3 linked regions of the Coturnix japonica genome follow. The protein of the gene in region 1 interacts with the protein of each later gene in a biochemical or structural test. Links are inferred from orthologs where the notes say so. Each region holds a gene or a part of one and is shown in the gene's direction. Other genes may lie near its edges.

The links.
Region 2: the proteins of PDZD2 (region 1) and CTNND2 form a complex in vitro, tested with the Homo sapiens proteins (2 studies listed by BioGRID and IntAct, with this or other methods). The link is inferred for Coturnix japonica from reciprocal best matches to the Homo sapiens genes PDZD2 and CTNND2.
Region 3: the proteins of PDZD2 (region 1) and PKP4 form a complex in vitro, tested with the Homo sapiens proteins (2 studies listed by BioGRID and IntAct, with this or other methods). The link is inferred for Coturnix japonica from reciprocal best matches to the Homo sapiens genes PDZD2 and PKP4.

The regions. Positions count from the first base shown.
Region 1 is NC_029547.1:8,871,719-8,875,845, reverse strand, and holds the start of PDZD2 (PDZ domain-containing protein 2), read left to right. Parts: upstream 1-1,194; 5' UTR 1,195-1,303; intron 1,304-4,127.
Region 2 is NC_029517.1:52,588,567-52,592,216, reverse strand, and holds part of CTNND2 (catenin delta-2), read left to right. Parts: intron 1-2,233; coding exon 2,234-2,419; intron 2,420-3,650. UniProt on the Homo sapiens protein: Has a critical role in neuronal development, particularly in the formation and/or maintenance of dendritic spines and synapses. Involved in the regulation of Wnt signaling.
Region 3 is NC_029522.1:33,222,113-33,225,762, forward strand, and holds part of PKP4 (plakophilin-4), read left to right. Parts: coding exon 1-5; intron 6-1,480; coding exon 1,481-1,697; intron 1,698-2,411; coding exon 2,412-2,544; intron 2,545-3,045; coding exon 3,046-3,259; intron 3,260-3,650. UniProt on the Homo sapiens protein: Plays a role as a regulator of Rho activity during cytokinesis. May play a role in junctional plaques.

The DNA.
Region 1 (4,127 bases):
TTGAAAAGCATACAGAAAAACTGCTGGTTATGAGCACCAGCTTTGCTTTGTTGGTGTGATCCTGCCTGGAGCCAAATGCTCTGCAGCAGGAGCCCCGGGCCTCAGTGCTTCATAGCATTTTCTTATGGGATGTGGGGGAAACACGTATGCTGTTCCTGCTTCACCCCCTCACCCACCCATCTTGCTTTCTTGCTACTTCACAGAGCTGCCTGGGAACAGGAGGGCCGATCTGTAAGCGTGGCATTCTCACAGGGACAAATCACAAACAGAGCATTACTTACTGACCAATCCCTGGAAAAAGAGTGGAAAAATCACAGCAGAGGATTGAATCCGTCCAAGAGTGAACTCAGAATGGCCTGGCAGGGCACGGGGCATCCCATGGGTGCTGCTGCTGCTGCTTTGCCAAGCAGCTCCAGGTAACCCTGCTCCCAGCTTTGGCCTTGGGTATATAATCGGTGCAGACACTGTTGCGAGCTATCAGCTTCAAAGGAGAGTTGTGGAGAACCTTGGTGTGTGGCTACCTGTCACAGTCTTTCATAAAGGCAGTCCTTCAGAGGTTCTTTGGTTCTTCTGAACTCTTTTTAAGATTTAATGTTAGGCCTGTAAACCTTGGACAGGGTGCAAGTCAGGAAGGGACTCTGGCTTGAGAGAAATCAGAGCTGCTGACCGCTTCCTTTTGTGCTGCCAGGAAAAGTGAGCCTGAAGAGCAACACAACATTGGAAAACATGTTTTTGCTTTAATAATCTGAAGTTCTGAATAAAGAAGGAACTTTAAAGAAAAAATAAATAAATAAAAAGGGAAGAAAAAAAAAATAGAAAGGTGTTGTTTTATCTCTTTTAAATGGGAAATTCAATGTTCATTTCAACCCTCTTTGGAAATTGCACTTTCTGCTGAGTGAGAACCGGAGATAGAAGCAATACAGGGGAAACAGTCTCGGGAACATCCGAAAATACCAACACCGCGCCCCGCACGCTGCGTTCCCCTCATAGGCGGGGGCTTCGGGCACCGCTCCCCGCAGCTCAGCTCCTGCCCCGGGGGAACCACCGGACCTGGCTCCCGGGGCGGGGGGCTGGGGGGGAGGGTGGCTCCCGGCGGGGCGGGTTTGGCGGCACCGCCCCGCGCCGGGCTCCGGAGCTGCCCGCCCCGTCGGGGCCGCCCCCGCCGCTCCCCGGGCCGGGCCGGGCGGGCAGCGCGGAGAAGCGGAGCGGTGCGGAGAGGGAGAGACAGCGGGCTGGGGGGCGGCCGGCCCTGAGGGGCGGGCAGGGATCGGGGCTGTGCGTAGTGCCCCGCGGCTCCTCCGAGGTGAGTGGGGAGCGCGGAGCGGGGAGGCGGCCGGTGCTGGTCCCGGTGGCGGCTTCGCTCCCGCGGGGAGCGGTGCGGTGCGGGGCTGCGCTGGGCTGACTGCTGCCCCCCCCGGCAGCGGTGGGCTGCATCCCCCGGCTGTCGGTGAGGTGCGTGCTCGCGGGCTGTCCATCTCCAGGGGGCGGTGGGCGCCTCCCCCGTTGCCTGCGGCTCCTTCTGCGGGGCTCTGTAGTGTGCGTGCCGCAGCCGAGGGACTGGGGTGCTTCTCCTCCCCAACCCCCGGGGTCGGTGGGATTCTTTCCCAGGGACTTTGTGACCCGCAGCCAGCAGGGCGCATCCTTCTGTGGTCGGTGGGGCACAGCCCCGCAGGTGTCAGCAGGGTCGGTCCATCCCCCAGGGATTGGTGTGGTTTCATCCCTGGTTGAGTGGGGCTCATCCCCTGGTCTGATGGGACCCTCAGCTGGCTTTGCTGACCCCAGTGCATCCACGTGGAGGGCAGCGGGGGCTCTGACCCTACTATGTTGCCTTATGCAGTCTCCCTGTGATGTGGATTAGATCCCACTATGACCGTGTGTGTGAGTGACTTGCAGTGCACCAGGGTGCTGGGGATATGAGCAAGAGGGGTGCAGTCACATAAGAACACCCCCCTGCATGCAGCAGAGTAATAAAATCAGCATGAAACATCTGGCTGATCTCTCCCCCCCTTCACCACTAACCCTCCCCCCCCTCCCCCCAAATAATAATAAAGTAGTTCTCTACACTGTGAAATACTCCTGTCCACACAAAGCAGGCTGAGATAGGTGCAATATTGTAAGCCTGGGAGCAGTTATGGATGAGATGAGTTAGAGGAGAGCATCAGGAGCTGACCTCCAGCTCTGAAGTTAATTGTGCTGCCCCTCCTTGGGCGGCAGAGGTCCGCAGTTCAACCTGTCTGAAGGTCCCTGACTGTAGTCCTTTACTGCAGAAAACTCTTGCGCTCCTTTGAAAGTGTTTTAAATGAACTTCATACAGCCCATCCCGTTAACCTCCATGCTTTCCCTCGGTAGCCTTTTAATGAGCAGTAACCTCCCTGATCATCCTTTGGCAGTGTGTCAGGTCCCTGTGCTGGCTGGGAGGGCGAGTGAAGGGACATCTCTGTGCCACCTCACCACTGTCCCTTGGGAGCTGCAGGGATACTATGGGACACCATCCTGATGTCCCAAATCAGCTTCTTGGTTCCAGCCATCACAGCTCAGGAATTTCACTTGCTGTTGGCAGAAGAAGCAGCTGTGAGCAGATAGTGAAGCTTGGTCAAAGTTCCTTTACCTTCATTTTGAGGCAGGTGGCTGTGTGCTTTGCAGCCCTCACTTTCACACCCAGAGTTCACTCAAGTTGCAAAGATGATGCTATTTCCTCCAGAGAACTCACCAACTTTGCTGATTGTAGAGTGGCCTCTACATCTCTTATGCGGTCCTTGCACTGGAGGAGTCATCTGCTGAGCTCACAGTGTGCAGACATGCAACCTGCAACGTTATTGAGTTAATTTTCTCAACAACAAAATGCTTGAATGCAAATAGAATGTAAAACATGCCTTTGAAGTCTTCTTCTTTTTTTTTTTTTTTCTTTAAAATTATTCAATGCTTAGCCTAGAGGAAATCTATTCTTTCACTTTTAAAAACTCACCAACATTTTACAGAAGCAGAATGTGATTTTTTTGGGTTTTTTTTTGTTTTAATTAAGTAAGAAAAAGAACTAAGTCCTCTGATTTTCCTGATGTGAGGCCTTTTTTTATGTCCCCTTTACCATGTTGGGGGACCACTACTCTAGGTAATGTGAAAAGCTTTGCTGGAGGAATGGAGAGCAGCACCAACCTCTGCTTGTGGGTGTCTCTTGTTGGGTTGTTTGGCAGTGCTGTTGAAGCCCAACATCTGTGTTGTAAGAGCCACATTTCAGAGGACTTCAGAGTTGCACGTCTTTATGTTGTTGGTGTCTTGTTCAGTTCTTGGTGGCTTCATAGAATAAGGAATGGCTGTAGGCAGGAGTCTGGCTGTGTGCAGGAGTGCACGGTGTGTGATGGGACCTCAAGGTCCATCCGCCTTAGTTCATCATCACAAGTGTTGTGAAATGCTTGGTTCCATTTATTTGCTGTAGAAATGAGTTTCTGCATCCTGCCTTTAAAATCCAAGTCATGACATCTGTGCAAAAAAAAAATCTTGCTCTTGTTTTTGTCACTGTTTTAGCTATAAATCTTCTATATGTCACACGCCATGGCTCTTGGCAGGTCAGTTGGGTTGTCCTAAGTCAAAAGCTGTGGATTTTATCAATGGAAATATACAAGTAAGTCATTCCTACAATTCTTTTCTGAGTCTTATTGCTGAACATACATGGCTTTGCTGTGTTGTACACATTTTTGCACTGATGTTTCTGTCTTTCTTGCCATCAGTACAGGGCTTGTTCTTCTGCCAGGTTTCCTGCAGGTGCCAATAGGAGCTTAACATAGCATTCTTACCCCTAATGGGTTCAAACCTCTTAGAAACTCCGTTAGACAAATGCAGAATTAAAAAAAATAAAAAATAAAGTAAAATCAACAAACTTTGAACCAGGCAACACGAAGTCAGGAAATGCAGGGGCTGGGGCTCCAACAGCAATATTAACTTGGCTGCAGTGCACATCCTGTGCACTCTTAATGGCATAAGTCTTATAATGTATACAGGAATATGCACGTAGGGTAATATATGCAGAGAGAGAGTAGAAAAGAGTGTTTTTCTGAGTCTGACCCACTTGTCCATGCATGAGCCGGCTGCTGCGGGCCTTGTGGGAGCCAGGCACTGCCTTGCACTGTGCT
Region 2 (3,650 bases), on another chromosome or scaffold:
AGGAATTGTGTCAAAACCTGCCTGATTCAGCTTGGCTGCAAGAATGGAGAAGACAGGGAACTTCAGTGGAGGAGATGAAGAGGTAGATTAAGGTGGTGCAAGTAAATTGCTGCCTTTCTCACAGCTTCGCTGATGCTCCTTCTTCATAGATGACTGAGCTGATTTCAAGGTTGTTATACTATTAAAAGGGTTAAATAAGTAGCACAGTAAGCTCTCTGTTTTGCCTCTTATCACTAATATAAAATATTCCATTTATGCTCTCATTTGTAGCTGTTACGACTTTGTAAAATCTGTAGGCTGCGATACAGAGGAAAAAATGAGGACATGAGAGAAGAATTATTCTCCCTGCCTGATTAGTTTTAACCTCCCGTCTAGCAGGATTTTAACTATGACATAAAGCACTTGTGCAGCTAAATGCAAAACTCCATATTGTTGCCAGAGGTCTTGCATCCTTTTCCCAAAGTTGAAAGTGATTTTAATTAAACCCAATATTTGAATAACTGCCTCTAAATCACTTTTTAATCTAGTGGCTATTCATGATGAAATGTAAGAAATATCTGTAGGAAAGAGGAACACAAGGTCCCTTGGAAGTTCAGAGCTACAAATCAGAAAGAATAAAACCTACTTTCTTTTCTTGTATGAGTTCATCCAAATGGCAAAGGTGTCAGTTGCATTTGAGGCATTATCAGTTTCTACTGCAAGGTAACACTGTCCTTGTGGTAGACTCAGTTAAAACTGTTTTCTTTACAGAATGAGAATTTAAAGTGTGAAAATTAATACTCATAAGAAGGGACAATAAAATGTCAAACTTTAATCAACACAAAGCTGCAACTTAAGCAAGTTGCAGTTGTACAGAAGTAACTATTAGCAAGAGTCAATAAGATTCAAACCTGGAAATACTAAAGAAATGTCAAAGGTAGTAAACTTAGAAAAATACTGTGGTCACTACAAGGTCATAGCATTCAGGGAGGAAAGATAATCTAGAAAGTTTTGCATTTTTCTATGTATATTTTTCTGTATATGTTTGTGTGTTTGGCTGGAGATTTCAAATCAGTGCAAGTTTAATTTGAAGTTTCGTCTCCTTTAAAAAAAAAAAAAAAAAAGATCCTGTCTAGATGAGTCTGTTTAGTACCCTCTCTAGAACTTTAGAACTTTGCTGTCTCAAAAGCTGTGCCAAATATTACAAGGCATAAGCTCATACAATACATGGAAGTAAATGCAGCTCCATCTGCTTGCCTGGCTGGTGAATATGGCAGAGTAGGATAGAGCTGAAACCTCGTACTCACTCTCTTCTGGGTTAGTGGAGCAACAGAGCTGGAATGTAGTTACTATTGCTTCTGTATCTATAGAGCACTAGGAACAGTTGAAATAGATACAGTCAGATAATGACTTTTTCTTAACCATGCTCTCTACCTTCATAAAATAGAATAAATGCTGATTCATCTTGTAATGGATAGCAAAACCAAATTGAACCAACAAAATGAACAGGATTTAAACAAGTCTAAAACTGAACTTCTTTTAGACTTGCAGAAATTATGCTGAATTACCAATGCCATCTTTTTCTTCCCCTGGGTCTGTTTCAGAATTCCCAGCAGCATCTTTTACAGAAGGCCCAATCTATTTAGGGGACAAATAGAAGAAAGGAAAAAGCTGTCCACAAATTATTTGCAGCCTGACTAAAAGCAGTAAAAACATCAAGTCCACTGAAATTCATAGTCTTGCTCTTTAGCCTACAGAAACATAATCAGTTTATGCTACAAATATTTCAGAAACAGAACTTGGAACCCATTTGTTCTGACAATTATCACCGATATGATTGCAGAAATAAGTGTTTCTTTTGGTTTAAAGCCAACAAACATACAAAACCATTGCCATTTTCATTTTTTGTTTCACATAAGGCTCCTGTATGAAGTTCAGGATGACAATAAAAATCTCATGGAAAAATATTGCTGAGACTGTTTTTTGTTTGTTGGTTTTTTTTCCATAAAAGAGTGTGTGAGACCCTGCCAGATTTTCTAAATCTCTTAAGCAGTGGTTACCAAGGAGGTACTCAGAAACGTGCAGATAAGAATTGTACTGGGAAAATGTATCTGGAAAGATCAGTTATGTTTCATCTGCTTTGTATACAGAATGAGCAAGGGAAGTATTTTAACTTCTTTTATTATTTTTTTCTTTTATTTGTTTTGTTATTGGTTTGTTTGTTTGTTTGTTTTTGTTTTGTCACACTTTTCAGACCGTTGAAAACTGTGTGTGCATTTTGAGGAACCTCTCATACAGGCTAGCTGCAGAAACATCTCAGGGACAGCAGATGGGAACAGATGAACTTGATGGATTACTCTGTGGTGATGCCAATGGAAAAGATGCAGAGAGTTCAGGATGCTGGGGGAAGAAGAAGAAGAAAAAGAAATCACAGGATCAGGTAATGAAAGATACTTGCAGCTGCATTGCAAGAAGTTGGAGTGTCCATCGTGAAAATTGATTATTGTATCATGAAGAGTAATTAATGCACATTAAGCACATGGGGCATGATGTGTATAACTGTTGCCTACTGAGACCCATCACTAAACCATTTCCCCTAGTACCATATCCACATATCTCTTGAACTAGGGTTGGGGACTGTTTCCTGGACAGCCTGTTCCAGTGCTTGACCAATTTATATATGTGTATTTGTTTCAGGATTAGTTTCATACTCTGCTTCTGCATTTTAAGAGAACACTGTCTAGAACCAAATTAAGCTATATGAGTGAATATGCAGAAAACACATATGTTTTCATGTAATTAGCGCTGTTTCCAAAGATTGGAAATTACAGTTGTAATTTTGCGTAAGTTATCTGACTGGCTTTCATTTTAGATGCATGTAGCAGAAATGCTAAGTCACAGCTTAACTCAGTGATTGAGCACCTGGTGGGAAGGCAGAGCCAACCTGGGGGAGCTCAGCTGCATGCAATGAACCTGAGTGACTGGAAAGGGTGGAGTCAGAATCCACTCCTTACCAGACCTCATTTATGGGCTAGCAGTGAAAGCAAGGGTTTCCTGCTGGAGACCCCTGCCTGCTTGAGGCCTTCTGAAGGTTAGTTACTTCTTTCCTTTGTTTTTGCGCTCGCAGCTGTTGCATTTGAGCAAGTCCTCACTTTTTGAAGCCTAGGGTCTTGATAAAGACTAGGATCTTGCTATCCTGCTGTTGTTGCTATCCTTTCCATCACGTTACTGTGCATTTAAGTTAATATTGTGTTTATTTTATTATTTTCTTATTCTGATTAAAAAACCTAAGGATGCTAGTAATGATATTATAGACCATGTTGTATCAGTAAATATCCTAGGTAGTGTTGAGAATGGCAACTGACTTAGGATTTTCTTCTAGCTGTGACAGCTACAGGTATTTCTTTTAATAGATTTGGTCCTTTCCGTTACCACCTATTTCTCTTTCAGATTGCTCAAAGACAATACTCATTTGAATAAGCAATTAGGCAGACAAGGTATTTGAGTAAATGATTTAAACCGCTAGTGGAAATACTTGGTTCATAAAGGCGGCATCTATTAATCTGGGAAAGTTAGAGGAATATGAGCTAAGATTCATGCTTATGGTTAGTAAGCTCTTGTGACTGGTAAGGCTTTTAATTTCACCAGCTCTTCTTGTTAAACTCTACAGT
Region 3 (3,650 bases), on another chromosome or scaffold:
GTCAGGTAGGTAAAGGGCTCACAGAGCTCTTTCATCAGCTGCACCAGAGCTGTGCTTGATTTACGTAGCTTTTTTGGGGCCTATGGCATATAGGAGATAGGTATCTTTGATTTCAAAGGAGAAACTACGTGCCGCAAATCAGTGTGGGCAGGAACTAGGCTGGAGGTACTTAAATGACCAGCAGGAATTTAAAGTTGTTATGATGTTTGCAGGAAATACTTTGGGCTGTATGTCAGTGTCAGGTTAGGCTCAGAATGTGTTCTTTGATGGCATGCACTTGGTACATCCAAGCAGAGTATTTCATGACATAAACATTTTACTGCTTGCTCTTCCATTCTCCGTGCATCGTTCAAATACCAGCTGAGCGTGTTCTTTTTTACCTGTTTAAATTTATCAGGGCAGTAAAATAATAACTTGCACAACTGAATTACCTACCGTATCTTTCACAATAGAAATACAGCTTTTACCTCCCGTTCTAGCTGAGGATAATGTCAGAGAGCTACATCTGAACACAGTGCAGTGAAAATGAAACATTTCTGTCGTAGTTGGTAGAATTGCTACTGGCAGATCATGAAGTGCATGGGCGTTAGTAGTAGTATCAGAACTGACTCTCTGTAAAGTATTGGTGTATCTGATTAATTTCTAAACAGTGTGGAAACATGAGAGTTATCCAACTAAACTCTAGACATATTTACGGAGAAGTGTCCAATTCACGTGTCTTACATTTGTACATCTGAAAATTGCTTCTTCGTGCATTTCATTCCTGAAATACAAAGAGCACAGCAGAGTGAAGGAGGCTTTTGCAGTTTTCCTCTCTTCCACAGCATACAGTAGATGCAGTTTGTCAAGGTATGCCACTATATCTACCAGATACAACTAGAAATGTGAATTCTCTGCTCATTTGTCCACCTGAGAGCAGTTACCTTAGAAATAAAGAAGTTAGCACAACAGTTCTGCTGAGTCAGGAAGCTACATCCATGTCCCTGACCCGGAAACCATTAGCTTAATACTTGGAAATCATCCCCTTACTAGCTTTTATTCAGGGAAAATATGCAAGTAATTGTGAAAGTAAAATGGAAAACAAACTATATAACTTTTTGTTTAATTCTTTTTCCTTTTTCTTTTTAGTACTGTTGGCAAATTGAAGTTACTGTTGGTAATTGAATTTTATTATACACCTTAAAACATTTTGCATCCTAATTTCTCCTTAATGGCACAAGATGCGTATCTTTCTTTAAATGCTCAGGCAAGCTGGGGCATAAGCCTGATTCCACCAAACCTATATCTCTGCAGCCAGCCTCTCTGTCTTCTCTGGGATGCTGAGTAACTGTTCCCTTACAACTGGCGGCAGCTTTCAACATTGAGCACTATGCACCTTTTTTAGACTGATTTTTTTTGCTTACACTTTTAACTTTGTATTGTCTCTTCTCTTCAATAGACATTTGTTACCTGGTTTGTTTTAATACTAATTTTATACTAGGAGTTGGAAATCTGCAAAGATCATCCAGTCAGCGTAGCACACTCACATACCAAAGAAATAATTATGCTCTGAACACAACTGCTACCTATGCGGAACCCTACAGGTCAATGCAGTACCGCCTGTCAGAGTCTGCCTATAACAGGCTGCAGCACACAGCGCCCGCCGACGATGGGACCACGCGATCTCCATCCATAGATAGCATTCAAAAAGACCCCAGGCAAGTCCACTTGTGCTCTCAAGAACCAAACATACTTGTCATAAGGTGATATTTACTGTCTTTGGGAGAGAAGTCTTTGTGTTGTTGCTGTGGGGGTGGTCACACTCTGGAACAGATCAAGGTGGCCCACGTGTTCAAGGTGCATGTAGGTAACGCGCTGTTAGGTTTTGGTTAGCCAGAAGTGACGGGGCAGTTGTTCTGGATCACCTCTGAGGGTCCCCTTCAGCCACATTATTGTTTTCTATTGTTGTTAGGGAGAAATAAATCTCAGAGTAGCAATGCAAACAAGGTCAGTAACTGAACTTTCCCTTTATGGTGAGTGGATTCTAGGGAGACCTGACTGCAGGTCAGGTCTGAATTGACTCTGAATGCAGAGGAAAAGATACTGCAATGTTCAGTGTGCATCTTGCATTATGCACTTCAGCTCACAGAGACTGATGTAGGTTGCAGTGTTTTAGTTGGTAGAGTTTTATTACATGAATCTGTTTTGTCAACAACCAAACCAACACAAGAGCACAGAAAATGAAGGGTCCTTTTCCAGTAAGAAGACTAGAAGCTGATGTGACATAGCTGTTCTAATGTAATTGGTTTTTCTCCTACCCCCAATACTCCAGAATTGTTATGCAATACTTAAGATATTCTCCTAGTTCTACTTAGTAAATAAACACACATTTGTAAGTAATGCCTTTCCTTGAATGTGTTTGTCCAACAAAGGGAGTTTGCTTGGAGAGATCCAGAGCTGCCTGAGGTCATTCACATGCTCCAGCACCAGTTCCCATCGGTCCAGGCGAACGCGGCTGCCTACCTTCAGCATTTGTGCTTTGGAGATAACAAAGTGAAAACAGAGGTACTGCAGTGAGAGCATTTCTGATCTGGGGGAAGCCATAAACTAAAGGAGCAACTGGAGCTCTGGTCTTTGTTTTCCTTTCTTGTTGCAACACCATATTCTGGACCTCGTGTGTTTGTTTGCTCTGGGTGTATGTCAGTATTGAAATACACGTGTGGACAGACGTGTGCAGACAAACACACACACCTTTCCTGCATAGCAGCTGGAAGTGATGTGAATAAGTCTAATGATGGGCAGTGTGATCTAGCAGAAATGCAGAGTACGTTTCTTGACACCTGTGTTCATGGAACTGTTGATGTCTATAGGCAGATGCTAAAGGAATTTGCTTTTCCATTCATGTGCAGGTTTTATTTGTCATTTGCACAATAAATCCTATGTAAATAAATTACTGACTCAGCAAAACAAAAGTCTCGGGAATGATTTTCTAACTCCAGTTTTATCTTGAATTATGTGCACAAAACTGCATCTCATCCAACCTGATATTCCTGTGCTGCTTCCCAGGTGTGTCGGCTGGGAGGGATCAAACACCTGGTGGATCTCCTGGATCACAGAGTCCTGGAGGTTCAGAAGAACGCGTGTGGTGCACTGAGAAACCTGGTGTATGGAAAGTCTACTGATGAAAACAAGATAGCAATGAAGAACGTTGGTGGGATCCCTGCGCTTCTGCGGTTGTTAAGAAAATCTGTTGATGCAGAAATAAAAGAGCTCGTAACAGGTATGGTTTGGATAGAGACTGATGCAGAACTGTAGCACAGATAATGGTTCTGACGTGGATAAGACCTAGAAATAACCAGTAAGTGACTGGAATTGAGTATATTGGCTGGATTTGTATTTGAGCATCAGTATTTCATCAATACAAAACCACAGATTTTGATTAGTAACAGCTAAAAGCGTTAGCACAGAAGTACAGGTTCAGGGGGAGAAGTGAATCCTGCGGTTACTGCCCCAAGGTTCCGCAGTGCAGTGCCCCTTTAGGGCGTTCTGTGGGGGCTGTCCTCTCACCTTCCTGCTCCTTCCTCAAAGAGCTCGTACCCTGGACAGCCAGCCAGGATGGGGGATGCCAAATACATCAACTTGAATAGGAGAGAATGTTACATCAGGGTGAA